Linked DNA regions of Nothobranchius furzeri. The protein of the gene in region 3 interacts with the protein of the main gene of each other region in a pairwise test. Links are inferred from orthologs where the notes say so. Each region holds a gene or a part of one and is shown on either strand. Other genes may lie near its edges. The genes, in order: gfap, mad1l1, cwf19l2, calcoco1a, meox1, rint1 and nab2.

Region 1 (4,087 bases), on a different chromosome or scaffold from region 3:
AGAGAAGATTTGCTGAAGTGCTCTGATGTAGCCGGCCCAGCGGTTGTCAAGGTAATGAGTCAAAAGGGTTTTGTAATGCAGCCTCCGTTTGTCATTCTGAAGTTCAGATTAGGTTTGCACTCACCGAACCCCCCCCCCCCCCGTCCTTCTTGTATTCATCGTCGTGCTCCTCTTCATCTACTCCGTCTATCTGTCTCTCCAAGCAGCCGGATGTCAAATAACCTGAAACTAGTTCACAATCATCAGAATCAAAATCTTGTAACTCCTTTTCTTCTTCTACAGCGGTTTGCATCCTCCACGATGATGACAGGATGAATGCTATCATTACCCACAAATGCTGAAAGGATGAATTCATGTATTACTCTACTGTGAAATGAGAAGGTAGCTTTATATAACTGATGATTATTTATCAGACCAGTGATTAAATCCTTTCTGAGAAATGTTAGCTCTGGTCCATGAACTATTTGATTGGCTTCTGCGTGGATCCATAACCAGTTCGAATTAAATCTTTATTTAATTTGTTACCAACAGCCTCGCAAACACTGAAAGCTTGAGCCACAGATGATCAGCAGGGTCTCTCATGTCAGACCTTTGCTGATTTGTCTTCCTGTTTATCTTTAAATAAAACTTTCAGAATGTGTTCATTTATTGTCTCCTCCTATACTTCCTTCATTTTAAGCATTGCAGATATGGATGCAGGACGGAAAACCTGTAACTCTAAAAATGAATCCAATGTTTTAAATTATTCTCGAGTTTATTAGCAGTTATGTCGTTACGTAACTAGATCCCAACAGGAATCGGGAGGAATGTTGATAGTTCAGTCCTACATCTTGTTTATTTAGAGCTCAAAGCATGCTGTGAGCATGTGATTTTATCTTCTGTCTTTATTGCCGACCTCCCCAACATGCTCTTCTGTTTGGACCGGTCCTCCTGCCGCGGCTGCGAGAGTGTGTGTGGTCAGGTTGAATTTGTGGCCAGACTCTGTTGCACAAAATTCCTTTTCATTCGCTTGGAACAGAAAGAAAGAGGGCGAACAAAAACGGGGCGAACGTAAGCGTGAAAGAGTGAGCCCAAGGGGAGAAAAGGGGGAGACGAGAGGGTAAAAAAAAAAATCCAGGAGACATTTGTAGTTGAGTGGAGGAGCACAGACAATCCCTGGCGCATGTAAACCTCCCCTTTGCCATCTCTTTTTGTTCCATTCACTGCCTGCCACCCTCCTCTCTCACTGCCCCAGCCTGTGGCCTCTCTGCTGGACTTGGGGTGGGGGGGTTTCTCCCTATATAAAAGCCCTGTTTGTCCCCTGAATGAGCTTATTCCCTATCATGGACAGCCTTAGAGCACAGTCCTCATACAGGAGACGTTTTGGGCCGCAGAGCTCAAGCAGCTCAGGAGGTAAAATAGGTGGACTATCTTCCCACCGCCTCTCCTGGCATGGCGCCCCTCGAAGCATCACCCACTCCAGCCCCGTCTCCCGGGTCTCCCTGGGCTCCTCCAGCACGGCCTTGCTGCTGGGCAGCCCCGTTGACCGGCTGGACTTCTCAGCTGACTCCTTGTTGAAGGCCCAGTACAAAGAAACTCGTACCAACGAGAAGATGGAGATGATGGGCCTGAACGACCGCTTTGCCAGCTACATAGAGAAGGTGCGGCTTTTGGAGCAGCAGAACAAAGTTCTGGTGGCAGAACTGAACCAGCTGAAGGGGAAGGAGCCTAGCCGCCTGGGGGACATCTACCAGATGGAGCTGAGAGATCTACGACGGCAGGTGGACGATCTCACCAATGGCAAGGCTCGTCTGGAGATAGAGAGGGACAACCTGTCTGCAGACCTGGGCACGCTCAAGCAGAGGTAGGAGAGAACGGTCCCAAAGTAGACCTGGGCCTTTGTGTGTCTTGTGTGCTCGCTGTCCTATTGATGCTTCACAGAAATAATGATGGGATTAAAACTTTTCCCCTAGTCTTTTCTTCCCATCAGCTTATAAATCCAGGAGAAAACCGGAACAGCCCCCAAAAAAGTCTCAGTGCTTCAAACTACATAAAGAGGAGTAATTTGACCTTGTGAAGAATGTTTTTGTTAATTCCTGTAAATACACCTGTCATGTCTGTATTTACGTAGCGCTTCTGTTTACATGTGTTTGTGGTTGGTTGGAATGCAGAGCGCTGTGGTCTGCCTGGGCTTTACTCCTCTATCCCTCTTTACAAACGTGATCCTGACTGAACCCTCGCTGCCATTCAGTCAGTGTGGAGGAATGAAGCAGCACAATGGTGGCGCTCCACAAAGGGAACAGAATGCCAGGCAGATGTAGCTTTCCTCTCTTTCTCCAAAGCACAAAGTCACCACCGCTGGTTATCCGGCTCCTTTTCTCCACATCCACCATCACGCCTCATGTCAGCTTTTTCATTTTGAGACAGGCCAATAGAAAGTCTCAGGGTGGAAACTGGAGGGTTTTTTTTTTTTTTGCCCTCTGACCAAGCAGCTGCTGGTCCTGTGAGAGATTGCAGGATGAATAGGGATGCTGCTGCTTCAGGGGTTAAAGGTCACCTTTTTTAAAATTCGTGCTGCTCTTTCTGTTAGCAACCTCTGCATGAAGCTGCATGATGTCACTCTACGTTTCATTTGCTTCTAGTGGGTAGGATCAGTCTGTGTGCTGCGCTGACACGGATTCTCTCTCTCTCTGTGTGTGTGTGTGTGTGTGTGTGTGTGTGTGTGTGTGTGTGTGTGTGTGTGTGTTCCATCCCGTGGGAAAGGTCTCCTCCGGCTGTTAGATTAGACTGGAAGTGTAATGATGCGTAAGCCGCTGCTCTTTCAGCTGAGTCCTGCCACTCCTCTGCAGCTCAGTAGAAGACAAAACAAAAATCTGAACACATTTTTAAAATACGTTTAATTTTTCTTAATTAAACTTTAGCTAACTAAACTTTGCGCAGGAGTTTGTTTTTTCTGACCCAAGGACCCCAGACATTGTGCTCTCATTTGTGATATATATATATATATATATATATATATATATATATATATATATATATATATATATATATATATATATATATATATATATATATACATATATACATATCAAATGTTTCAGAAATATTTTAGTGTAATTTAATTCCTCCTGGCTGGGAACTCTCAGTAAGAAGCTCTTCACATTTTTCTTGACTCAGGCTGCAGGATGAAATGGGCCTCCGACAGGAAGCAGAGAACAGCTTGAACGCCTTCAGACAGGTGGAAATATTAGTAATATTAAAAAATCTTTAAAATATTGACAATCTCAATGTTGTTTGCTGTCATCCTGCGATGTTTCTCATTATTCACACAGGATGTGGATGAAGCAGCGCTCAGTCGGGTCCAGTTGGAGAGAAAGATCGAGGCCCTGCAGGATGAAATTAATTTCCTGAAGAAAATTCATGAAGAAGTATGAAGAAACGCTGAAGTTGGTCCAAAACAACTAGACAGATTTTAGCAAAATCACGACTTTTGCCACGTTTTTCTTCCAGGAGCTGCGTGAGCTGCAGGAGCAGATCATGGCCCAACAGGTCCACGTTGACGTGGATGTGTCAAAACCAGATTTAACTGCTGCTCTGAGAGACATCAGAGTTCAGTACGAGAATATGGCCACTTCAAACCTGCAGGAGACAGAGGACTGGTACCGATCCAAGGTCAAATATTTTACTTTTAAAGGAGGGATTTACTCATTTATTCAATACTTGTGCAGTGTTCTTTAGTGTAATTCAATGCCTTATGAGCCATAAAAAAAAATAAAGCTATGATGCTCCTGTTATGAGATGCAGATGTTTTCTGGTGCAGAGATGGACTGAAAACAGTAGAATTACTCATTACTATTATTGAATTGCACACGTCTTGCTTCTGATTGGCTAACAGAACATGTTCAGCCATGTCACTGTCACCAAAACACCCTCCGCTCGCTCTCCCTGCTGCAAAAAAAACAAGCCTTCCTGTGGACGGGCGCTTGCCAAGATGGGCGAGACCATGAATGCAAATTCATAGTGTGACATAGATGTGTGAGGATTTTAAAATCCTAGAGTTTCACCATCTATTTTCTATCAGAAGGTAATGCAGGAGATAGGTGTAGGA
Region 2 (3,500 bases), on a different chromosome or scaffold from region 3:
GTGCTGTGGGCCAGCTCCGGTCCAGGTTTCAGCTCCTCTGCCCCACTGGAAGGGTTTCAAACACTGCCAACACCTGCTGCAGTCTGTGGCGGGGTGCTGCGGGCGTTCTCCCCACCCGCTGGGAGTGTTTGAAACACCACCATCCTCTGCTGGAGACCGTGGCACGCTGCTGCGCCCTGGTTGTTTATTCTGTTATTGTTACCGGTACTTGTCTTGCAATGTGAAATGCTTGGTCTCAGAGTTTGTAAAAAAAAATAAATAAATTTCCCCCCAAAATGCGACTTATATATGTTTTTTTTCTTCTTCATTATACATTTTATGGCTGGTGCAACTTATACTCCAGAAAATACGGTATAGGACCTATAATAACCTGCATACATTCCTCTTACTTACTGTTTGTAGCTGTAGCTTGAGCACCCCCATTTCCTCCTGTGTTTTAGTTAGCTGGGCCTGAATTTAAGCAAAAATTTAAAATATAACAGATACATCAGAGGAAAGCTTGAAAAAGACCAAATACAAGGGAAACAGAGGAAGAGGATTATTTAATAACCAGCTCACACATAGATAACTAGTGTGTGTTAAAGTCAACTAAAGCTTAGCCAATAAAACCATACACACCTCCATATCCATGTTGTGGTTCTGTGTCCTTTGCAGAACCTCCTCCGCCTCTTTGAGTCGATTTGCGAGTTGAGGAGAGTATTCAGAGGGAGCAAGCTCACTGTCATAGGACTCCAGTATGGCCCTCATCCCATTTCGCTCCTGTAAAACAAGTGAAATATGGCATAATTAAATCATAAAGCATTTTTAAAATCCTTTCTGAACAAACATCTGTGCGGGACAAATTGGAGAAAGTCCAATTTAAAGCTCAGCTCTCTCAACTGTCAATAAGCATGCTTCTTCTTTCGGCTCTTGTAGAGTACAGATGCTTTTTTCCTCCTCTCCTCCCTATCTTATCCCCAGGGCTCTTTGTCTGTCTTTGGGTGTACGACGCTTCTGCATTTTTTCTGGAAACTGGAAATTATTAAAAATAGACCTGGTCAGCTGGCCTCTCAACCCGATTGACAACATTTTCTCAACGATGATAACGGGAGAAGGGGCTCCCGAATGCCCCTCTGGGACAGATCCAGTTGGGCATATCATGGACTCCTGGAAACAGTGGAACCTGATCTGCTTATCTCAACTGTCTGTAGAGGATTCTGAAGACGTATGGATATTTGTGGTGTTGGTGTCAGGTTTCCTACTTTTTGGCCTGGGAGGCTACCTGGCTTACCGGAAAATTAACGAGCTGTAAAGGAATATTGGCTCTTTCCTGGAGCTCGGGGATGATTACACCACGCTGTGAATGCACAGACTCATAATTGTCGAAAGAGTCGTAGGCTTGGAACTTTGACTGAGATTCAGGCTCTGGCAAAAAAGATGGATGCAATTAAGGAGCGAGTGGACGAATCAGCACGGATTGGGATAGATTAACTTACGCCATTATTGGATTTTGAGATGTTGAGGACCAACGGAACTTTAAGACAGAGAAGAAATTATCACTGTCTGGCCCCAAAACAAATTCTTCTCTGAATCTGGTGCCCTTGAGCCTGTGAGGCTGAAACAAATACTCCCCCTCAGAAGTAGGGATGGGTACCGAATTCGGTACTTTTTAAGGTACCGACCGAATTCCAGAGTACCGACCGAGCACCGATTCACGTCATTTCAAACGGTGCCTCGTTTCGGTACCCGTCCATCATAACGAGAACTTGCCAAGACAGCTGCGCATGCGCAAGAGCGTTTTGTCGTCGCTTGCTGTGAACCAGTTGTAAACAGAGCAGCATGGTAGAGAGAACGCAGGCTAAAGCTTGGGTCCACTTCACTAAATGTGATGGGTAACTGGATGATGAAACCAGCGACAACGATCTAAGTGAGACATCCTCATCTTAATCTGCTCCGGTACGTAAATATAATTAGCTTGATATGTTAGCTTCCATTTCGCTAATGGTGCGTTCGCTTTCTCCTCGGAACTCAGAATTTCCGACTAGAACAACATGAACGCGCTCTAAATTTTGGCTTCACTTTACTAAATGTGACGGGTGAAGACGAAACCAGTGACGATCTAAGTGTGAGGCATCGTTTTAATCTGCTCCAGCAGCTAAATAAACTGTTTAAGATATCGTTAGCTTGATATGTTAGCTTCCATTGCTACCATTGTTATCAGCTAATGGTGCGTTCGCTTTCTCCTCGGAAATTCTAACTTCCCAGTAGGAAAAATCAAATGAAAAAAGATGGCAAAAGGAATGAAGATTCACAGTAAATTTAGTTCACAGTAAAGATGTTTGCTTCAGTTTAATTATCAGCTTATAAAACTACAAGGGCAATGTTAAAATACAAACAGTTGTATGTTATTTATCGTGATATTTATGAAATATTGTTATATATTGAGAAAAATATATATTTAATTATAAAAGAGAATTAAAATAATAAACACTCAAAAGTATCGAAAATTGGTACCGTTAAGTACCGGTATCGATTTGTAGGTACCGGTAATTAGTACCGGATCGATTCAAATGTCAAAGGTACCCATCCCTACTCAGAAGAAATGTGGAATGCTGCCGTCGCCATGGCAACTCTGTCTCCCTATCCCAGGCTGGGCGGGACTGCGAGCTGTGAAGGCTGCTGAATCGTTCCAGGAGTCACTGTGCCCTCTAAACCCAATGACCACCTCCCCCTGTCCAGATGGGGGTGATGGGCGCTGCTTATTGCGGCTGCATGCACTGACGTGTGGAGAGTCCCAAACCCTACCACCCCACCTAGTGGACACTCATGCTGTGTTATGTCTGATGTCTGTTGCATTTCTGTCTGAGGTGTTTTTTGCATATCAAAGCTGCCCTCCCTGTGGAGGGTAACTCTGAAGTGCCTTTTTTCCTCCATCTGACTCAATCCTCATGTAAACCCCTCTGATCTCTATTAAGGTAGCGCGACTTGGGTTGCGAATGACCACAGTCACCAATTCTTGTCATGTGTCTGTGTATATATGTCTGATCTCAGAATTGTGTGTACTGACACTAATTTCCCTGTGGGATTAATAAAGTATCTTTGAATTTGAATTGAATTGAACTGAATCCAAAAACTTCACCTGAACTCAACAGGAATGGGATTATTGGCAACGCAATCTGAACACTCAGTCAACACAACACCTTCTTTATGCTCAACTTATTTTGCAAACACAGCTATGCAGCAACATCTAGGAAAAGAGAGGAGCTGTAATAAACTCCTCTCATCAGAGACTGAGCAAACTGTGAGACTAGAAAAATACTTTCTACACCACTAGCCTACATGCGGGAGGTAATTACTGCAGCTCCGTCTCATGTGCCATGTCGGCATCCCATTTAATCCTTTAATAGATTCATTATGCGACAGTTGGCTTTGCAGGGTTCAGAAAAATGCACGCTTTTCTCTTATTTAAGCAATTTTTCTGATTTAAAGTGTTTCATTTAATTCATCAAAACCGAATGGCA
Region 3 (2,360 bases):
TCTTCCAAACACCTGCCGGCTCTGCGGTCTGCGCGCAACGGCGGGCGGGAGGGGAGGGGGCTTTTGGAAGAGTTGTGCAACACAACGACTCGATGACGCAATTCGTTGCCAACGCTTTTAGTAATCGATTTTCATCGAATTTATCGATTCGTTGTTGCAGCCCTAAACATGTGACAACCTAATACATGTGACAGCCCCATCTAGTGGACAACTTTTGTTTCTGTGCATGTAGTTATCGTCCATTTATCGTTATTAAGGTGAAATCTTACATTGTGATATTGATTTTAGGCCATATCGCCCAGCCCTATAGGCCAGCGGTAGACCTGCTGAGGCTACAATGGAGCGTGGCTAGACCGAACTGCAGATCGAAATCTTCAGCTACTGCATGTGCTTGACCACTGTTTGACTCAAGGTTATTCTAGGGGTCTGGGTTGTCCTGTTTTTTCTGCTGAAGGGAGGTACCGTTACCATGGCTACTGTGAGCCTGGTTTTCAACAATGTTGAGGTGAACATGAGAATACTGTCTTTCCTAGAAGAATGTTGTAATAAGATTATGTTTGTGGCTCTGTTGTGTGTTCATTCTTCCACTCGTTTTTTTTTAACGTTAGTCTGAGACCTGTTGTTGATTTTCTATCCTTAATGACATCTATACTCTGACTTGATTTCTTAACTCAGTTCTTTTTGCTGTTGTGTCTTTAGTTTAAGAACACCCCCCTCTCCTTTGTGATGTAATGGCTGTTCCCCAGTACACACTGTGAAGGAGTGTTTCTGATTGGAGCTCAGAGGAGAAGAAAACATAGAAGTCATTAGCTTGATGTCAGATTAAACACTTAGGAAGTACATTTTTCCCCTCCAATGTGTTGCTTTCTGTGTTCTCTTGTGGCTTTTAAACATCAACAGAAGCAAGGCAGCATTTGTGTCCCAGGGTTTGTACGGGTTCTTGAAGTCCTTGAAAATACTTGAATTTCAATAACGTATTTTCAAAACATGGAAAGTGCTTAATTTCTGCATTAATTATGAATTACCCACGGACTGGAAGTAGACGAGCATGACTTCAGCTCAAAACACAAGCTCAGCATCTCATTACGTTTAAATGCTTTTGGAAGATTTCCGTGTATCATCAGCTGACTCCTATAAAACCGGTGATTAACATCAGCAGTAAAAATCAGGGCAGGTGGAGTTGGAACATACAATGTTTAATTAGTCTGCAAACATGGGAGTGTGTGTTTGCACATGCGTGTGTGTGTTTAATAAAAAAAAAATGTAGCCAAATGCTGTATGGTAACTGCGCGATAATGTCTAGACCCCCCGCCAATACCCGGAGTCTCACATGTACACACATTCCAACTTGTTCCCTGGTTTCTATGGTGACAAGACTCCAAAGCAGTAACATTGTCGAATACGGTGCGTCTTGCTTCGTAGCTCGAACACTCAGAGGGTGCCTTTGATACAGCATACACACACACACACACACACACACACGCACACACACACACACACACACGCACACACACACACACACACACACACAAACTGGGATAGGCACTGCTTCATTTTATTTTATTCTATTTTATTTTATTATATTATATTTTATGTTATTTAATTGTATTTGAATATCACACTTTTATTATCTTTACATACATTTTTGTAGAATTACTTTATTTTGCTTACCATTTCCTCCTTTTCTCTCCCTTTCTGCCTGGGATGGACTTCTCCAGATGATGGGAAAGATGGATGGCGACAACTACACGCTGGATGACATGTTTGTGTCGAGTGCAGCCCAGAGGGAGGGCGAAGGGAGAGAGGAGGAGCGGATGAGGAGCAAGGCTATCGCTGAGAGTAGGAGGCTGGCTGCCTCCATGGATAAGTGCCAGCACTGTTTCAACAGCAAAGACCTTCAGAAGCATCTCATTGTGGCCATAGGGAGCAAAGTAAGGAGATGGTGTTGAATGTTGGCAGATTTATACAAAACTAATGAATCTGTGAGGCAAACTATTCAGCAGTTTTTTGGTTTGTAGCAACGTGTGATTTCTAGTTAACTTGTTTGTGATTTCTAGTTAACTTGTTTGTGATTTCTAGTTAACTTGTTTCTTTTACTCTGAATTTCCTGGACTGTTGAACAGTTAGTTATTAGAGCTCTAAATTAACTTAATGTTAGCTTTGGAAATTTGAATTATAGTTTAAAACCGTTTGTAAAGTAGTTTTGTTCTCCAGGTGTATCTGAGCCTGCCTGCAGGCGTGTCCATGACCGAAGGCCAGTGTCTCATCTGTCCTCTGCAGCATCACTGCTCTGCCACTGGTTTGGATGAGGACATCTGGTCAGAAATGCAGGTTTGTCCGGCATCAGGACTTAGCGTGTT
Region 4 (4,042 bases), on a different chromosome or scaffold from region 3:
TTTGCTAAGGCTTTGTGTTATTTTAGGTTTAATAAACACTGTTAAACCTTTTCAGAACTATTTCAGTTTGTGTAGAACAGGACTATCAATGCTTTCTGAACATATGCAACACCGTTTAAAAAATACCGCGATAATACCGAAAACCGTGATAATTTTGGTCACAATAACCGTGAGGTTAAATTTTCATACCGTGACAACCCTACTGGTCATTACCTTGAAACTGCACACAGCAGTTATTATCTGTGCCCTCCTGGTAATCCGCCGGGGTCAGAGCCCAAACAAATGTCTCGTAGTCCTTCACTGACGTCCATCCCACCTGACAAACATAACATTCTTACCATGAATTTTAAATAAACCTTTTATTTATCAGATTTTTGTAACGGCTGTGAAGGATAACATTACCTTGAAGAGCCCAATCCAGTCACTGCTGGTCCAGCTGTGCTGTGAGCTTAAGGTGTAGTGGCAATCTACTCTACTCTCCGGGAAGTAAATGCAGCCCACATTTCTAAACTCCACCTGCCAAGTCTTATCCATGGCAACACACACACACACACACACACACACACACACACACACACACACACACACACACAAAGCCAGGCAAGGCTGTTCCTAAAGGAAGAAAAAGAAATATATGATCATTTATCTCAAGTTCAAGGTTGATACTGTCATGTTTGGTTTGCTGAGCTGAATGTGAACGAGGTAAAAGGTGACAGCTGGTGAGCAACACTGAGCAAGCAGGAGTCGGTGAAGACACTAGAGCTAAACCTCTCTGACAGGAAGGGCTTTGAGCAACATGGCACATTATACGTTTGTGGCAGTGGTTATGTTGGTCATGGTAAAACTCACCGCGCTTCTTCATGAGCAGTACAAAATTTCTAGGCTCTCCCGACATGTTAGAAGACTCAGATTACACAGACATGGTATGAATCCTGCAACTGCCTAACACAAAGCATTATTACTTTAGCGTTATGTCAAATTTGACCTCCAGCATAGATCAGATGTCTAGAAAATAAAATGCTTCCCAATAAAATACAAGTCAACAATAACAAGGTGCAGGTTTTATAAAGTTTTAGTTTATTATTTGTGATTTCACTTCATTAGGGAGATTATTTACTGAGAGGGCCACTCTAAACTTGCATGTGAAGGGTAAATTGTATTTACATATCTTAAAGATAATTACAGATCAGGCAGGAAAATTTACAGCAGCTTTTTGAGGAATCCTATTACACCGCAATGCTTGAGGGCTATCGCAGGCAGGTTTAACATATAATAGTTAGGCAGCAAAATATCTTTCATCATATCTATAATTAAATATTTAAAATATCCCAAATGTAGAGGCTGATCCCAAAATTAGCTTTTTAAGTGAGTTGATATTATGGGAAAATCTAATCCGATGATCCTGAAAAACTGACAGCTAGAAGGCCTAAGATTTTTTCTTTTCTTTTTGATGAAAGCAACGTTTTGAGAAATTTATGATTTCTTAATTTCTATTTCTGACCATGTCTGCGTGCTTGCCATAATTGTTATTCAGAATAATTCCAAGTATGCTTTCATGAAAAACAAGAAAACTTCTAAATGAGTGTATTTAGCAGAGCAGTCAAGCTAAGACTGCTCTTTTTTGTTTTATTTTGAAATGTTACATCAGTGCTGGTAAATGGGGTATTTTAAATAAATAATTTGGCCTTGATCACTACCCAGATAGCAAGCTTACATTGAAACCATATTGATTTTCCATCTGAATCATCAGAAGTGTTGATATTGAAATCTTGATTCAAACTAGATGTTGAATGAATGTTGCAAAACCGATGAATCCTGCATGAAACAGCATGATATTGTAATAATTTCTCTCAATTGAAATATAAGGGAAAATGCATTGATCTGTAGTTGTGTTGAAATTTCAATGTTTTAATATTTAGGTTATTTGAAATACAATTTTAAAGGCGTTGATCTATATTTAATAAATAAATAATGTTTCAATATTAAATTTAGGTGCAAAATTATGCTGACTATATGTTTTAACATTGACAATGCAATGTGGATTCTACATTGTTTCGATATACGCTTGCTATCTGGGTATAGACTGGTATTGGGCAAACCTAAACAAAAACATTTTGGGTGATCTGTTATTTCTGTGCATTAAACCTCTCAGGTCAACAAGTATTTTTTTCATAATGATTGATTTATAGATGCATTGCGGGGACTTTCTTATCTTGCCAGTAAATGTTAAAATATGTTAAAATACTCTGTTATTTAACTTTATTTTAGAATTCTTAAACTTTGCTTTACTTGGAAATAATATCTGGTAACGTAATAGGGTGAAATAGTATTTTAAAGTCTTAATATTGTGACTAGCATGGTTTGTAATCTGATTTTTGCATTGTTGACATTTTGATTTGATTTTATGTCACTACGGCCTGCCATACAAGGCCCAGCAGAAGCACATGTCGAATAAACACGGCCACGCGCGGCGATGCATGTTAAATAAGACAAAAATGTAATGTCAGTCACTGTAGGCAGACATTTAATTATTTATCACTGTCAGACCAGTTAAGGTGTTGCGGGCACGAATAATCAAACGGAACAACAATGCGGGCTTTGTCAACCACCTAAAATTATCTGCGCACATTTAGGTCGAGTCCTCTGCGAAGTGTCTCTTACCTTTAAACCCCTCTCCTTAAATACCAGGCTGCGTTTGAGATAATACAGCTGCAGTCCAAAAGAAAAAGGGAAATGAACGTGTCTGAGTCCGCAGCGATATCTTTTTCTGTCTGCTGCTCCAGTAACCTGAAACAATAACAAAAGACCCAAAGCAAAACGCAAGCTTGACAGCTTTCACCCCACAGAACTCTGGGAGTTGTGGTTCATTACGGAGCCAGAGCGGAGACGTCAGGTTACCGTGAAAACTACAATCCCCAGAAGGAAGGCAGAGAACACGAGAACCGCTTCACGTAACTTGATGCTGCGCTTGTTTTTGGCTTGGACCACCTAAATGTCCTCCAATGAGAAGCTAAGGAAGGGAAATGAAAAGGTAACTCCTGTGATAGAAACAGTTTTCTTTCGTATGTTTTTATCTGGGTCAGGACCACTCATGTGTTCCGATACAGGTTTACAATGGTTTGAATAGTGTGTTTGTGTTAATTTAAATCAAATTATGGGTGTACTTCTTTCGTAGGACAAGTTGGTCCGTTTACGATTTTTAATTAAGTTAAATGAAATGACGTTAAGCATTTTGTAAAAAAAATTGTAAAATAAATAAATAATTGGCCAATAGGAATAAATGTTGCCGTCAGATCGTCGGCTAGCAGTGCCTACACCACGCTCAGGACAGTCCAGACTCTTCTCATGCATCGTTCCACAAATGTGGAATGACCTACCAAGCGCTACCAGAACAGGGGCTTCCTTTTCAATTTTCAAGAAACTCCTGAAGACCCTGCTCTTCAGAGAGCATCTTCTTAACTAGCACCTTGCCTGCACCCGTCCCCCCTCTCTACTGTCCACTCCTTGTTCTCTCCTCTCCATGATTGATGTCAAGTTGTTGTTGTTGTTGTTGTTGTTGTTGTTGTTGCTGTTAGCCTCAAGGGCAATATGCCGATTATCACTTGTAAGTCGCTTTGGACAAAAGCGTCTGCTAAATACATAAACATAAATTTTGGATCATTGACCCCCCCCAACCACACACACACACACACACACACACACACACACACACACACACACACACACACACACACACACACACACACACACACACACACAGTGATATTAATCCATGTTTCCAGGAAAAAATGTGGGTTTTATTTAGACAAATTCTCCAAATTATCCAGTAATCTCACTTTTTGGATGTCAGTCAGTCCTCTCACCTCCCCTGTTTTTGCAACGTGGAGGGTGAAAAAAAAAGAGAAAAAACCAAGATGATGTTTTGATGCTGAACAGCAGATGGCAGTATACCATTTTTAAAAATTCTGTCCCTTGATTTCAGCTTTTCCCATTTAGATCGTTTTCTCTACATCTTTAGGGCTCATTAGATGACCCAACTGCC
Region 5 (3,952 bases), on a different chromosome or scaffold from region 3:
TAATCATTAAAATATGTTTTTGCAGTGAACCACACCTTTAAGTCTGTCCAACGAACCACCTCTCTTCCTTAGGAGGTCAGCATTAAAGTAAAAACAGACTAGGACAAACGTCAGCTCATGAATATGAGCAGCAAGAAGAAAAACTGCTCGTCGGTATAGTGTGGTTCAGTGGGTAAGTGAGTGTCCAAAGTTTGGTTAACAGAATGGGTTTTAGACATAGGGAAGAGCTGAGATTAAAAAATAAATATACTTTATTATTAATAATCTCAGACAAGAGAAAATACTTCCAGCAAAATACAAGATATTGATATATGAAAAGGTGCAATCTTCCTGTCACAGCATTTGCTTGGAGAAAATAATAACCTGCTTTTGTGAAATATGGCTCTGAAATTCCATACAGAGTTTCACCAAAGAACCTCAAGAGGTGCGAGCTCTTGCATAACCAGTATCGTTTCCAGTTGTCCTTTCACCTCAGAGCCGTAGAAAGTCCAGCCAGGTGGACTGTGTGGTGTGAGGCAGTAGTGTGTTCACCCACACATAAAAACACACAAAACGATTTCTTAAGTGTGAGAGGACAGGCAAGGATTAAGGTTGCAGGGTTCCTTTAAAGGGTGTCAAATAAAGAACTAAATTGGGTGTCAGAAAGTACTGAGGAGTTGAAAAAAGGTCCCTGGCTGGGACCAGCAACTACTGCAGGTTGGAGTGGGTGGGTGCTTGCTTTATACTTTTCAGACAATGTCCCTTTAAAAAGCCCTGCGTCTGGAAAGCCCATTAGATGTGCATATAAAATTTCCCCCGTGATTAATAGTTGATGAGGACGGGTTGGTTGGAGGGTACTACCAACATGTGGACTCATGAGCAGCTCCTCCTCTGCTGTCTCACGTTACACTCCATAAACTCGCCACCATTTCCCACCTATATGTTTAAAAAGGAGGAGGGCTCGCTTGTCAAGAATGCCTTAGAAGAGTTGTGAAAACAGCCAGCAGAGAAAGGGAGTTGCAGATGCAGCTCTCACACTGAGCCACAAGCCGGTTAGATTTGTGAGGGAGAGGAGTGTGTGTGTGTGAGAGAGAGAGACACGAAGGGAAAGTGTGTGTTTTGATCAGAGGACGTCACTTACACTCCCACAGCGAGAAGGAAACACTGTCACAGGAAGGCGTCCATCCTCACACGTTCTGAGCTGTGGAAGAGTGACCAGCTCCACAGAAGTGAGTATTCCTGATGCGATGAGACCATCGATGATTCATCTGTAATCAACTCAAGTGGAAATTTCTCTCAAAGTGATAAAGATACACATTCCAGTCCTTACTTTGTGAGGAGGCTCTGAACTCTTCAAGAAGGAAATTTTTTGTAAAAAGACTGTAAAGTGTTTTGGCATCACCATGGATCAGCCAGCCAGCAGCTGCATGCGGAGCGCCCATCCCAGCAGCCCCATCTGGGGTTGCATGAGGAACCCTCACTCTGGGGTCCCAGGGGCCAATCTGCAGTCACCCTACCAGCAGGCCCCGTTCTCCCTCCACCAGAAGCCCGAGTTCCTGGCCTACACGGACTTCACCAGCTCCTGCCTGGTGCCAAGTGTGCCACACGCTGCCTATCCTCGAGATGATAGACTCTACCAGGACAGCCAGGGGGGATTCCAGAGAGCCGACTGGCAGTTCAGCCCCTGCGAGACTCGGGTGAGAGCGCCCGAGGCCTGTCCACCCATCGCCCCCGCTGTAGGAGGTTCTGGAGAGGACGGAGGTCCTGACCTGGAAGGTGTAGGGACCGAACGAGTGCCAGGAAGTGTTCCAGGATGTCTGGATGGAGAATACTCACCGCAGAGTGTGGCGTCAGTTGACTCAGACAAGAAAAGCTCCAATAAGAGGAAAAGAGATATCACAGGTGAGTCCAGATAGACGGACAGCATTTAAGCACTCTCAGTGAGGGGTTTAAGAGAAAACATGAGCATTTTAAACAAATGGAAATATAGGAAATTAAAATGGAAAAAGTCTTTTCTGCTGCAGTGATAATCATATGAATACAAATATTGGAAAGCAACAGTGAAATAATGTTATAAAACTATCAAACTTTTCTTATTTAATAAAAAATTATAATAGTTTTTAAACAAATGTGAATAGGTGAAAAAATATAACCCCACAAAACCTTTAGAGCTTTAAAATTGTGCATTTGGCTCAAGAACTACAGCTGGCAGGATGCACAGCCCTGTTGTTTCCTCGCTAAACTGGTCTTAACAGCATTTGTCTGTGTGAGAGGTGAGTAGGTGACCAGAGTGTTGTGTTCTAGCTGCTCTTTAAGCTCCAGTCGCATCCTCTTATTGTTAAAAAGCATTAGAAATAATCCATGAGGCTTTGGGTGTTTCATTGTGTCTCTGTGTCTGTTGGAAATCAAGTATTGTTTCACATTTGTGTGGCTCACAGGTGATTCTAACTATAGTTATTACAGCAAATCTGTTTAAAGCTGTCATATTCAGCAGCTTTCAGTTAAACCACTATCCACCAAATCAAGGCTCGGTTCATCCTTAGATATATTCTTGTGAATTATGTTGACGTATTTCTCAATGAAAGAAGCAGAAGTTCAGAATAATCTAACCCTCTGATGTAAACTCCTGCTAATGAGAGGAAACGGATGTTCTTGATAAAACTAAATGTGGGAAAAGCTCTAATTATCTGAAACACTTAGTATATTTTTAATGTAATTGATCCTGAATAATTAATTTGTTGAGTAAATTTTCTTTTTTGACTTATGTGCAGGACCGACGAGCATCTGTAGACCAGAATTAATATTAATACAAGAAGATTTGCTGGGCGTAAACGTATTTAAAGATGTGAAAACAATCAGTGATTAGAGTCCTTTTATGTAACGCAGAGTTGGAAATAAGGGGAAATGGATATTTATTTTAAACTTGTTGAGATGACCAAACTTAAATCAAAATGACCAGTTCGTGCAACAGACACACACACACACACACACACACACACACACACACACACACACACACACACACACACACACACACACACACACACACCTTTACCCCCACCTCCTCTTACCTTATTGTAACCTCTACTCTCTGCCCTGAAAACCTGCCAGACCACGTCTGGTAAACTCACTTTCCTTCAAGCCCACTCCTCACATTCTTATCCATTGACATTTTCCTGTCGTTAAGCCGTAACACAATCTCCCACTGAGTGCATGCAACATGTCCGACCACTACATCAGCTCTCAATTTTAGAAAACGGAGCAGTCCGCCCTCAAATTGACAAGCTGGTAAAAGAGCATATATTAGGAAAAGGCCCTGAAGGCATTCCGGGTGTACAGTCTGCATGTGCTGATATGGAACGTCAGGCTGACGCTGACAAAATCATATAATCTGATGATGACTTCAGTCTGACAGTTGCATTAGATTGTGTTTACCTGAGATCAAATCCAGCCTGCAGCTTTGTTTACTCATTATCTCAGTGTTTGGACTGAGCACAGTTTGCATTATCATCGATTTTCAACAATGTATTTTAATGCATGCCATGGAGCATATGATTTGGCATCAAATATAAATTTCATCAATGAATCTTGTTTAGTGAGATTTCTGGGTTTAAAAAAATGAAAGCATGTATTAACGTTGCATGAACTCTTTTCTTCCTACTGTCGCCGAGTGCTTGCTCATTCAAAATGTCAAGTTCTCCAGATTTTCCTTTATTTAAATCACCTCAGGAGATTTCTGTAGTTCAGATGTTGTTGCCCTTTAGAACATTTGCATTTTCCTCTAATAATAAGCAACAAAACATTTTTGTAATTATTCGTTTACATACACTTTAGAAGGACAAACCCTGTGAGATGAAACTTCTCGTTTTCGTGAGGGTTCTCCTTCACACACATCAAAAAATAAATAAAATAGAAAATCAGTAGGAGAGTTAAGTAGTTGAGAAAAATTAGTCAAATATAAACTAAATAAACC
Region 6 (3,500 bases), on a different chromosome or scaffold from region 3:
GACCAGAACCCCGGGGCTGACTAAGAAAAGAATAACCACTCGGGCAGAGTTCAATCAGACCAGAATAATCAGATGTTTGCTGCCAAACTTCAGTCAGAAACATAAAATCCAGGTTTTTAGAGAGAATTAGATCATTGAGCAGGAAGGACTTATTGTTAACAGAGCAGGTATTTAATAGATTCATGCTGAGTGAGGTGGAGGAATCAGAAACTACAGAAACAGCTGGAGTTAGTGGACATAAATTACTGGGGTTAGATCCACGGTGTTTATAAAAACCACTTGTAGAGGGAACAGGAGGAGAAACCACTGAGGAATGAGGATAAACCGACCTTAAAAAACTTGGACGGATGAACCACGTCGCAACACGGCCTGGCGGGAATGCAGAAGTGGCGCACAGGTCACCAAACAAAGGACAAGAAGCTAGAAGATCACGCCGATGTTTACTAGATAAACAATGCTTTAAAGAAGTCTTATTCTCACCTGGATTCCTGCCCGTTTACCTCTTTTCCTCCGACGTTTTCCCGGGACTGGATAAACATAGCCGGAGGCGCGCAGCTCAGGACCGTCGTTTGGCTCCGGGCCAGTGCGTCACTCAGATAAACGAACAGGGAGGTACGTCCTTGATGCATCTTGGGCGATCGTGAACGAACGGAAGGACAAAAGAGTCTGGCGATCATAGGAGATGGTAGCAGGGACACTACTGAAGAGAATCGCAGACCGGAGCAAGGTGGAAAAGAGGAGGTTAGTGAAGAAAAGTTTGAAAAAGTGGCCGGTGACTGCGGCTAAGCCAAGCATAGGCGCCATCTTGTTGCCGACCAGAAGCGGAAGCGGAAATGTATCAATAATGGCAGCTCCGATGGTTTTCCTGTGACCTTTAGCTTTATGCTATCACATTAGGTTTTCAGTGGATACAGACCTGAATTAGACCTAGACTTGACCTCATACCCAGATCCTGGATCAGCCTGCTCCTGATCTTAAAGGGATACTTGTAAAATTTCCAAATTTTTAAATAATGTTCTTGAGTCAATATGTGCTAAAATGACCCTTTACAGGGTTAATGAAAGGTCACTCAGCCCCTATTGACCCCTGTGGCCAGAATATTCCACTTGCAACTTCAGACTGTCTGGCCGCTCAGTTGGGACTGACATATTGAGCTGACACAGCTGGTGCTGTAGTCTGCTTCCAGCACATTTCCTGCATGTTTTAGATCATGAACACATCTGATTTGTTTTAATTAGTGACAAATCACTCCTGCAGACACTAATTAAGGCTGGGAGACATTTCAGCTGTTAGATTAAGGCGTTAAAAAGATGAACGCACAACGAGGAGATAAACTTAGTTTTTGGTTCTACACACGAACCCTAGGGGGTGCTAAAAGGCAAGCCAAAACTGCATAGTTCCCCTTTAAAGAGACTATGTGTAGTTTTTACCATTCATTTCTGGAAATATCTATCAAAATGTTGTTGAAAATGAATTAAATTATACCCATTTGTTGAAAAATATTAGCAGCTTTGAAACATATAATTGTAAAAATCAGGTCTAAAATACATGGAAGCGGGTAATAATACACCTGAGCAATGCATTAGATGCCATGTTTCCTTCTACGGGAGCCCATGAGGACAAAATGCATTTACTGATTTGTAACGAACGGTTAAACCGTGGTCATTCTTAAATGTTGTTTTACACAGTTACCTCCACTTCTTGCCAGTGATGAAAGGGAGTCTGATGTGGTTGTTATTTAGCTAAATTATGCACTCCCCAGGGCTTTTTGACCCTAATGGGCATACATTGGTAAGGTCTTACTCCAACACAAAAATACAGCTTGCTTGCAACAATTTAGTTATTTACTGCCCCTATCGCCAGGGAAAATACACACTGTCATTTTAAGTTCTGACACATTCATTATTGGCCTTCTGAATATGTCCTCATCAGTACTGCAGCTTACGACAGTAGACATTTCGACTTGAACCAATATGACAAGCTCTTCTTGACACATGTGTCTTTCCTACGCTGAAGTTTTCCTTCCTTACTGTGGAACTGGTCCGTCAGCTTCCACTGCTTGTTTCCTTAACCTCCATGATAGAGATGACCTCATATCTCAGAGAGCCTCAGCTTCTGGTCAAGGTCAGCCTTCACCTCCACTTCAAGCTCCTCCCCTTTGTCTGCCCATTCAAATCATGCTTCAGCCGCTCAAGAAGAGGTTCCGATACCATTTCTGTGGAAATCGACAGACTAACTCCCTAAGCAAGGTTTGGCTCATACAACACTGGTCCGTACAGGATGGTTCTGGAGCTCTTCCTGTTTGTTTGGCCTAAACAGGTGGACAGAAACCTTATCAAAGTGTGCTGAAGCAGCATTTTGTTCACAGCAAAACCTGATGATGAGACCGTTAAATGTGTGTTTTGACAACAGGTATAATAATATCAGCAAATTTATTATCCGTGTGTTTTATTCTTTATGTCCTGTTGTCAAAAAGATACAATTATATTTTGCTTAATGTTTTGTTTTAAATTACTTTACTATTTAGTGTTTTTGCTTAAATTTGATCATATGTCTGTCAACAGTAGAGTTAACACACCCCTGCAGGTGTTAACTCTAAACTTGTCAGGGTGTTTTCTGCTCGCAGTATTAAAATTAATCTGTTAGTTTAAAAAAAAAGAAAAGAAATAAAATCATTAAAATGCTTGTAGCAATTAACATAAATATGCTGTATTAAATTAATCAATCAATCAGTCAATACTTTATTAATCCCAGAGGGATATTAGAGCTGGTAGTAACACCCACATTTGTTTACTTTTGAATATTTTGCCTTATAAGTTAGGCTTGAATGTATTTAATTGTATAGTAATTGTATTTAACTGTGAGACTAAATAATTTCCAGTAATTTCAGTTCCATGGTAGATAAATTAATAAGGATCAGTCTCACAGACTTGCTTTGGTTGAGACCCATTTGCTCCACCGAGCTACAGAGGTGATTGTCTGTGGGATGGAGGTGTGGAATTGTTGTTTTTCAGCAGCATTCTCCTGCTCTGATTTAGTCCCTTGTTTCTAATGATGACTGGTGTCATTTCCACCTTTCTCCTAATCAGAATGATATAATCATGTCAGTTCTTGGGTTATAAAATCAGTTTGAAACCTGAAAATTTACCACTTACATAAATTCCATTATTCCTCTCACCTCAACCTGGTGCCAGTAAACACGAGCCTAACCTCTTTTCAGCAACACATATCTATTAAACGCATGATCAGAAATATCACCATTAGCATAAAAACTAGCTACAGTAATGAAAAATGTGCTGCTTCCAAAGCTTCATGAATCAATCTAAATGTCCTTTTTCACAGCCAGAGTGGTACCTAACGCAAGTTCTGATATGGATGAGAAACAGCTCACCCTTCTTGATGGAAAAGATTCAGCCTGCCTTGGACCAGGCTGGTGTGGCCATCAGTGCACAGGTTTGTTGTTTTAGTGTGTTGTCGTCATACCTGAGTCAGTTCACCAC
Region 7 (4,252 bases), on a different chromosome or scaffold from region 3:
AAAATGACGCGTTAAAAAAATTAACGCATTTAATCACAGCTTGCATTTCGAGCAAGGCGGAACCTTTGTCATTGCACAATTTCCTTGTAGACCGAATATCACTGACGCACACAACAATGGCTACTAAAAAGGGATAAAAACAGACAGAAGTTGCCTTGATTGGACTGATGCAGGATTTAGGAAACACGTCCTCCTCTTTTCTTTACTTAGAAAAAGTAAACTTCCAGACAGCAACGGAGTCCATGTCGCAGACATTTTTCAGAGATCGTCTCTGCTGCGGCTGCCCGGTGGCACCGGAAACTTTAAAAATGTTGCGGTAAGCTATATTTTTAACATTTACGTAATATCTGTACAGGGCTGAAAGCACCAGACAGAATAATTCTTTGCCCTAACAGTAGTTAATGAAAGTAGTCAAACAAATGAGAGGCACCTGGCTGCAGCTGGGAAAATGGTCCATGTCCTCACTACTCTGATTTTAGTTGATTTGGGTCTTGTTTCATATCACACAGTGACATTTGAATAATTAAAAGGCATTTTTTAAATTAAGAGCTTTAGTTTACAGTAATAACCATGTCTAATGTTTGATTCTCTGTCTCATAATTTTAATTACAAGTTTTGCTTTGAGGGCACATTTTTTTGAACGATTAAAATGTGATTAATTTAGATTAATTAATTACAAAGCCTCTAATTAATTAGATTAAATGTTTTAATCGAGTCCCGGCCCTAATATATATATATATATATATATATATATATATATATATATATATATATATATATATATATATATATATATATATATATATATATAATTAGTTATTACAGAAAGGGTTTATTAAAGTTAATGTATTATTTGGCTTAAAGAAGATGAATGTAAGGGTTTAGGTGAACATGAATGTGATTAAGCAAGGGTGCCCTCCCCCACCCACTTGACCAACCTTTGGGACCGCCACTGTTCACATTTATCATTGATTCATTTTTCCTGCCTTGCTGTTGATGATGATGCTGGTGCCACGAAATCGTTCAGAACATGATTCAAATCTGACATGTTTTCGGTTCTAACTATATAATATAATATATATCTGATTCAACAGTCGCGTTAACCTTTTTCTGACGTTTTTTCTTAGACTTTCTTTGTCTTGGAGAACAGAAACAGGTTCAAGCAAAAACCCGTGTTCACGTGTGGGCTCCTACATGCAAACCCACATTAGTTGATCGTTTTTAACCTAATGGTGACTTCAGGTCTGGGGGTCTTTGTGGTGGTGAAACTGGGAATCCCCCACAGCGTGTGCGTCAGGAGCCGTGAAGACGCACAGGGTTAATTTCAAGCCCCCACCACCGCCGCCCACATCCCCTATTTGAAAGCCGCCTCTCTACCGGGAGAGGAAGGCTCTTTTTCGGTCAGATGGCGTGCTGCAGCCCGCCCCCGTCATTCTCCAGCCCACACAGACAGCAAAAAGGCAGCCAGAGCCAGCAACCAATACGGTGCGCCGGAGGAGGATTTCTGCCAGTGATATCGGACCAAGCAGCGACGCGCTAAGGGGATTTACTACGGCGATCTGCGGCGTGGAGGCTGTCGGTGAAGAGGTAAGAGGAACGAATCGGATGTAGAGAAGGACGACGTGTCGCTGAGCAGGGAGTCCTCTCTGACATCTGGCTCAGGATTGGCTCAGTCTGACTGGAGCCAGTCACCCAAGCAGCTCACTGCTTCACATCAGAACCATAAGGGAAAATATTTGGCTTCTTTCACAGTTTTATTCCAGGGAATAAGACCAGACTGCTTTAAGTTTCAACTCATCTGAAAAAGGTAAGAAAGATTCAAGAGTACTTGGTGCACGTTTGTGTTTTGCATGAAAAATATCATGTTTTTAATCCTAGAATCATGCAAAAGTTTTTGTGCTTCAGCCTGATAGATGCATTTGAAAATGAGCTGTCTGGATATTTAACATCTCTGGACTTTTCCACTTTGCAGGTTCATGTGTTTCCTTTCTCCTGCCTGAACTTTTCCAGTGCCGTGTGCCATGTCTCTGCCACGCACACTTGGGGAGTTGCAACTCTACAGGGTGCTGCAGCGGGCCAACCTGCTGGCCTATTACGAAACCTTCATCCAGCAGGGCGGTGACGATGTGCAACAACTCTGTGAGGCTGCAGAGGAGGAGTTTCTGGAAATCATGGCACTAGTTGGCATGGCCACCAAGCCGCTGCACGTGCGTAGGCTGCAGAAGGCTCTCCGAGACTGGGCGGCGAACCCTGCCCTTTTCAGCCAGCCTGTCGCCAACGTTCCTCTCGGGGGGATCCCTCTGTTCAAAGTTGATGGGACGGGCACTAGTGGGTCAGCTGGCGGGCCCAGAAAGCCTGTGAGTAATGGGCAGCCTGGGTCGCCCTGTGAGAGGGAGGATCGGGCGTGCCTCACCCCAATGTACAGTGGGAGTCCAAGGAGCCCCTGCTCCCAGGCCTCTCCTCAACCGCCAGAAACACACTACAGGGAAAAACTGTCCCCCATGGACCCCCACTGGCTCAGCCCAGAGCCTGATGGTAATAGCAATGTAGCTTCTGCACCTGGAACAGAGGAGGAGGCGCCCAGCCCGCCACTACTGTCCACATGTCCTCCTGGTCCTTCAACATCTCCTGTCCCATCTGCATCATTCGCCCCTTCGGCTCTGTCAGCCTGGCCTGGAGGACAGCTGGACGGGGAGACGGCGAGGGCCGTGGTGGAGAGCGTGGAGCAGCTGTTTAGGACCCTGCCCCGGTCTGATCTCACAGAGGTGAAAACCCTGCTGAGGATGAACAAGAAGATGGCAAAAACTGTGGGGCACATCTTCAGAATGGGTTCCCAGGATGCAAACAAGGAAGAAGAGATCCGGAAATACAGTCTGATTTACGGGCGCTTTGACTCCAAACGGAGAGAAGGCAAGCAGCTCTCACACCACGAGGTAAAACCTAACAAGCACATCACCCGAGCTCACGGATCGCTAAAGTGACAACAAACCAGATTTTATCTTCACCTTGTGACCTTAAATGTTGATTTAAAGCCTCCATCACTCCTTCATTCGGTGTCTCCTCCTCCCCAGCTGATCATCAACGAAGCTGCAGCTCAGTTCTGCATGCGCGACAACGCTCTTCTCCTCAGACGGGTGGAGCTGTTTTCTCTGGCTCGACAGGTGGCCAGGAAATGTGCCTACACCTCCACACTGAAGAGCACAAGGTGAGTGAGGTAGGGGTGAGCGATGAGGATTTGACCCACACAAACACACCTGCTTCACACGAGTTTCAGATCGAAGCAAAGTGTTAGTTAGACGTTTTCAGTTGTTTTATTCAGATTTCTTCTGTTACAGCTCAGGTTTTATATAAAAAGTTAATCAGGTAAAAAAAGAGTACACCTCAATTCAATTCTAGAATTTTGGGGCAAGCATGGGGCAACGGTGGCACAGGAGTTAAGTGCTGGCTCCATAATTGGAAGGTTGCAGGTTCGAGCCCCGCTCTGTCGCTGTGTCTTTGGGCAAGACACTTAACCCACCGTGCCTGCTGGTGGTGTTCGGAGGGACCGGTGGCGCCTGTGTACGACAGACTCACCTCTGTCAGTGTGCCCCAGGGCAGCTGTGGCTACAATGTAGCTCATTACCACCAGAGTGTGAATGTGTGTGAATGGATACATGACTGTTTGTGTTGTAAAGTGCCTTGGGGGGTTCCAGGACCGTATAAAGCGCTTTATCAGATACAGGCCATTGACCTATTTATTTATTTTTAACCATATTTTGATTCCAAAAGTTGACGTTCTTTAGTTTAAAATCCCAGACATGGCCTAAGCACTATTGTTTGCTGTTCAGATTATTGGGATTATTATTATAATTTTTTGGTCAAATTATTAAAATCTAATCAGAAAAGTTAGAGAATAAAGTTATAAAAACACAAACATTATTTTGTTGCAATTAAATTTTGAATCAATAAATCTAGTTGAGGAGACACTGAATCATCAAACTTCAGTTTAATGAGCTAGAAACAGTATTTTTACATGTAAAATTCCAGGTAATTTTTTTTTTACCAGTAAGTGGCTATAACACTCCATCATACATCTCATTGTTTACATTAAAATTCAAAAATGGAACGGTAGTTCATACATTTTTGGGAATTTTGGCAGAATTCTTATTGCAATTAAAAGTTTTTATTTTTTTATTATCTTCTGCAGGCCGAATGCGGATGAGAACAGCAGTTTGTGTAATAAGAGACCAAGACATGAGGTAAGCATTTACAG

The links.
Region 1: the proteins of cwf19l2 (region 3) and gfap interact in binary tests that used the Homo sapiens proteins (3 or more experiments, as listed by UniProt). The link is inferred for Nothobranchius furzeri from reciprocal best matches to the Homo sapiens genes CWF19L2 and GFAP.
Region 2: the proteins of cwf19l2 (region 3) and mad1l1 interact in binary tests that used the Homo sapiens proteins (3 or more experiments, as listed by UniProt). The two-hybrid records come from large-scale screens. The link is inferred for Nothobranchius furzeri from reciprocal best matches to the Homo sapiens genes CWF19L2 and MAD1L1.
Region 4: the proteins of cwf19l2 (region 3) and calcoco1a interact in binary tests that used the Homo sapiens proteins (3 or more experiments, as listed by UniProt). The two-hybrid records come from large-scale screens. The link is inferred for Nothobranchius furzeri from reciprocal best matches to the Homo sapiens genes CWF19L2 and CALCOCO1.
Region 5: the proteins of cwf19l2 (region 3) and meox1 interact in binary tests that used the Homo sapiens proteins (3 or more experiments, as listed by UniProt). The two-hybrid records come from large-scale screens. The link is inferred for Nothobranchius furzeri from reciprocal best matches to the Homo sapiens genes CWF19L2 and MEOX1.
Region 6: the proteins of cwf19l2 (region 3) and rint1 interact in binary tests that used the Homo sapiens proteins (3 or more experiments, as listed by UniProt). The two-hybrid records come from large-scale screens. The link is inferred for Nothobranchius furzeri from reciprocal best matches to the Homo sapiens genes CWF19L2 and RINT1.
Region 7: the proteins of cwf19l2 (region 3) and nab2 interact in binary tests that used the Homo sapiens proteins (3 or more experiments, as listed by UniProt). The two-hybrid records come from large-scale screens. The link is inferred for Nothobranchius furzeri from reciprocal best matches to the Homo sapiens genes CWF19L2 and NAB2.

Annotation. Positions count from the first base shown.
Region 1 is NC_091745.1:10,096,034-10,100,120, forward strand, and holds the start of gfap (glial fibrillary acidic protein), read left to right. Parts: upstream 1-1,287; 5' UTR 1,288-1,304; coding exon 1,305-1,843; intron 1,844-3,156; coding exon 3,157-3,217; intron 3,218-3,311; coding exon 3,312-3,407; intron 3,408-3,489; coding exon 3,490-3,651; intron 3,652-4,087.
Region 2 is NC_091744.1:8,623,627-8,627,126, forward strand, and holds part of mad1l1 (mitotic spindle assembly checkpoint protein MAD1), read right to left. Parts: intron 760-3,500; coding exon 619-759; intron 451-618; coding exon 394-450; intron 1-393. UniProt on the Homo sapiens protein: Component of the spindle-assembly checkpoint that prevents the onset of anaphase until all chromosomes are properly aligned at the metaphase plate.
Region 3 is NC_091753.1:35,482,046-35,484,405, reverse strand, and holds part of cwf19l2 (CWF19-like protein 2), read left to right. Parts: intron 1-1,718; coding exon 1,719-1,931; intron 1,932-2,214; coding exon 2,215-2,331; intron 2,332-2,360.
Region 4 is NC_091755.1:25,985,121-25,989,162, reverse strand, and holds the start of calcoco1a (calcium-binding and coiled-coil domain-containing protein 1), read right to left. Parts: upstream 2,801-4,042; 5' UTR 2,662-2,800; intron 613-2,661; 5' UTR 594-612; intron 556-593; 5' UTR 535-555; coding exon 403-534; intron 317-402; coding exon 214-316; intron 1-213. UniProt on the Homo sapiens protein: Functions as a coactivator for aryl hydrocarbon and nuclear receptors (NR). Recruited to promoters through its contact with the N-terminal basic helix-loop-helix-Per-Arnt-Sim (PAS) domain of transcription factors or coactivators, such as NCOA2.
Region 5 is NC_091756.1:48,793,307-48,797,258, forward strand, and holds the start of meox1 (homeobox protein MOX-1), read left to right. Parts: upstream 1-1,152; 5' UTR 1,153-1,382; coding exon 1,383-1,881; intron 1,882-3,952. UniProt on the Homo sapiens protein: Mesodermal transcription factor that plays a key role in somitogenesis and is specifically required for sclerotome development. Required for maintenance of the sclerotome polarity and formation of the cranio-cervical joints.
Region 6 is NC_091741.1:64,270,813-64,274,312, reverse strand, and holds part of rint1 (RAD50-interacting protein 1), read left to right. Parts: intron 1-2,083; coding exon 2,084-2,249; intron 2,250-3,342; coding exon 3,343-3,453; intron 3,454-3,500. UniProt on the Homo sapiens protein: Involved in regulation of membrane traffic between the Golgi and the endoplasmic reticulum (ER); the function is proposed to depend on its association in the NRZ complex which is believed to play a role in SNARE assembly at the ER.
Region 7 is NC_091743.1:50,555,446-50,559,697, reverse strand, and holds the start of nab2 (NGFI-A-binding protein 2), read left to right. Parts: upstream 1-1,452; 5' UTR 1,453-1,587; intron 1,588-1,752; 5' UTR 1,753-1,807; intron 1,808-1,972; 5' UTR 1,973-2,021; coding exon 2,022-2,933; intron 2,934-3,071; coding exon 3,072-3,205; intron 3,206-4,186; coding exon 4,187-4,238; intron 4,239-4,252. UniProt on the Homo sapiens protein: Acts as a transcriptional repressor for zinc finger transcription factors EGR1 and EGR2. Isoform 2 lacks repression ability.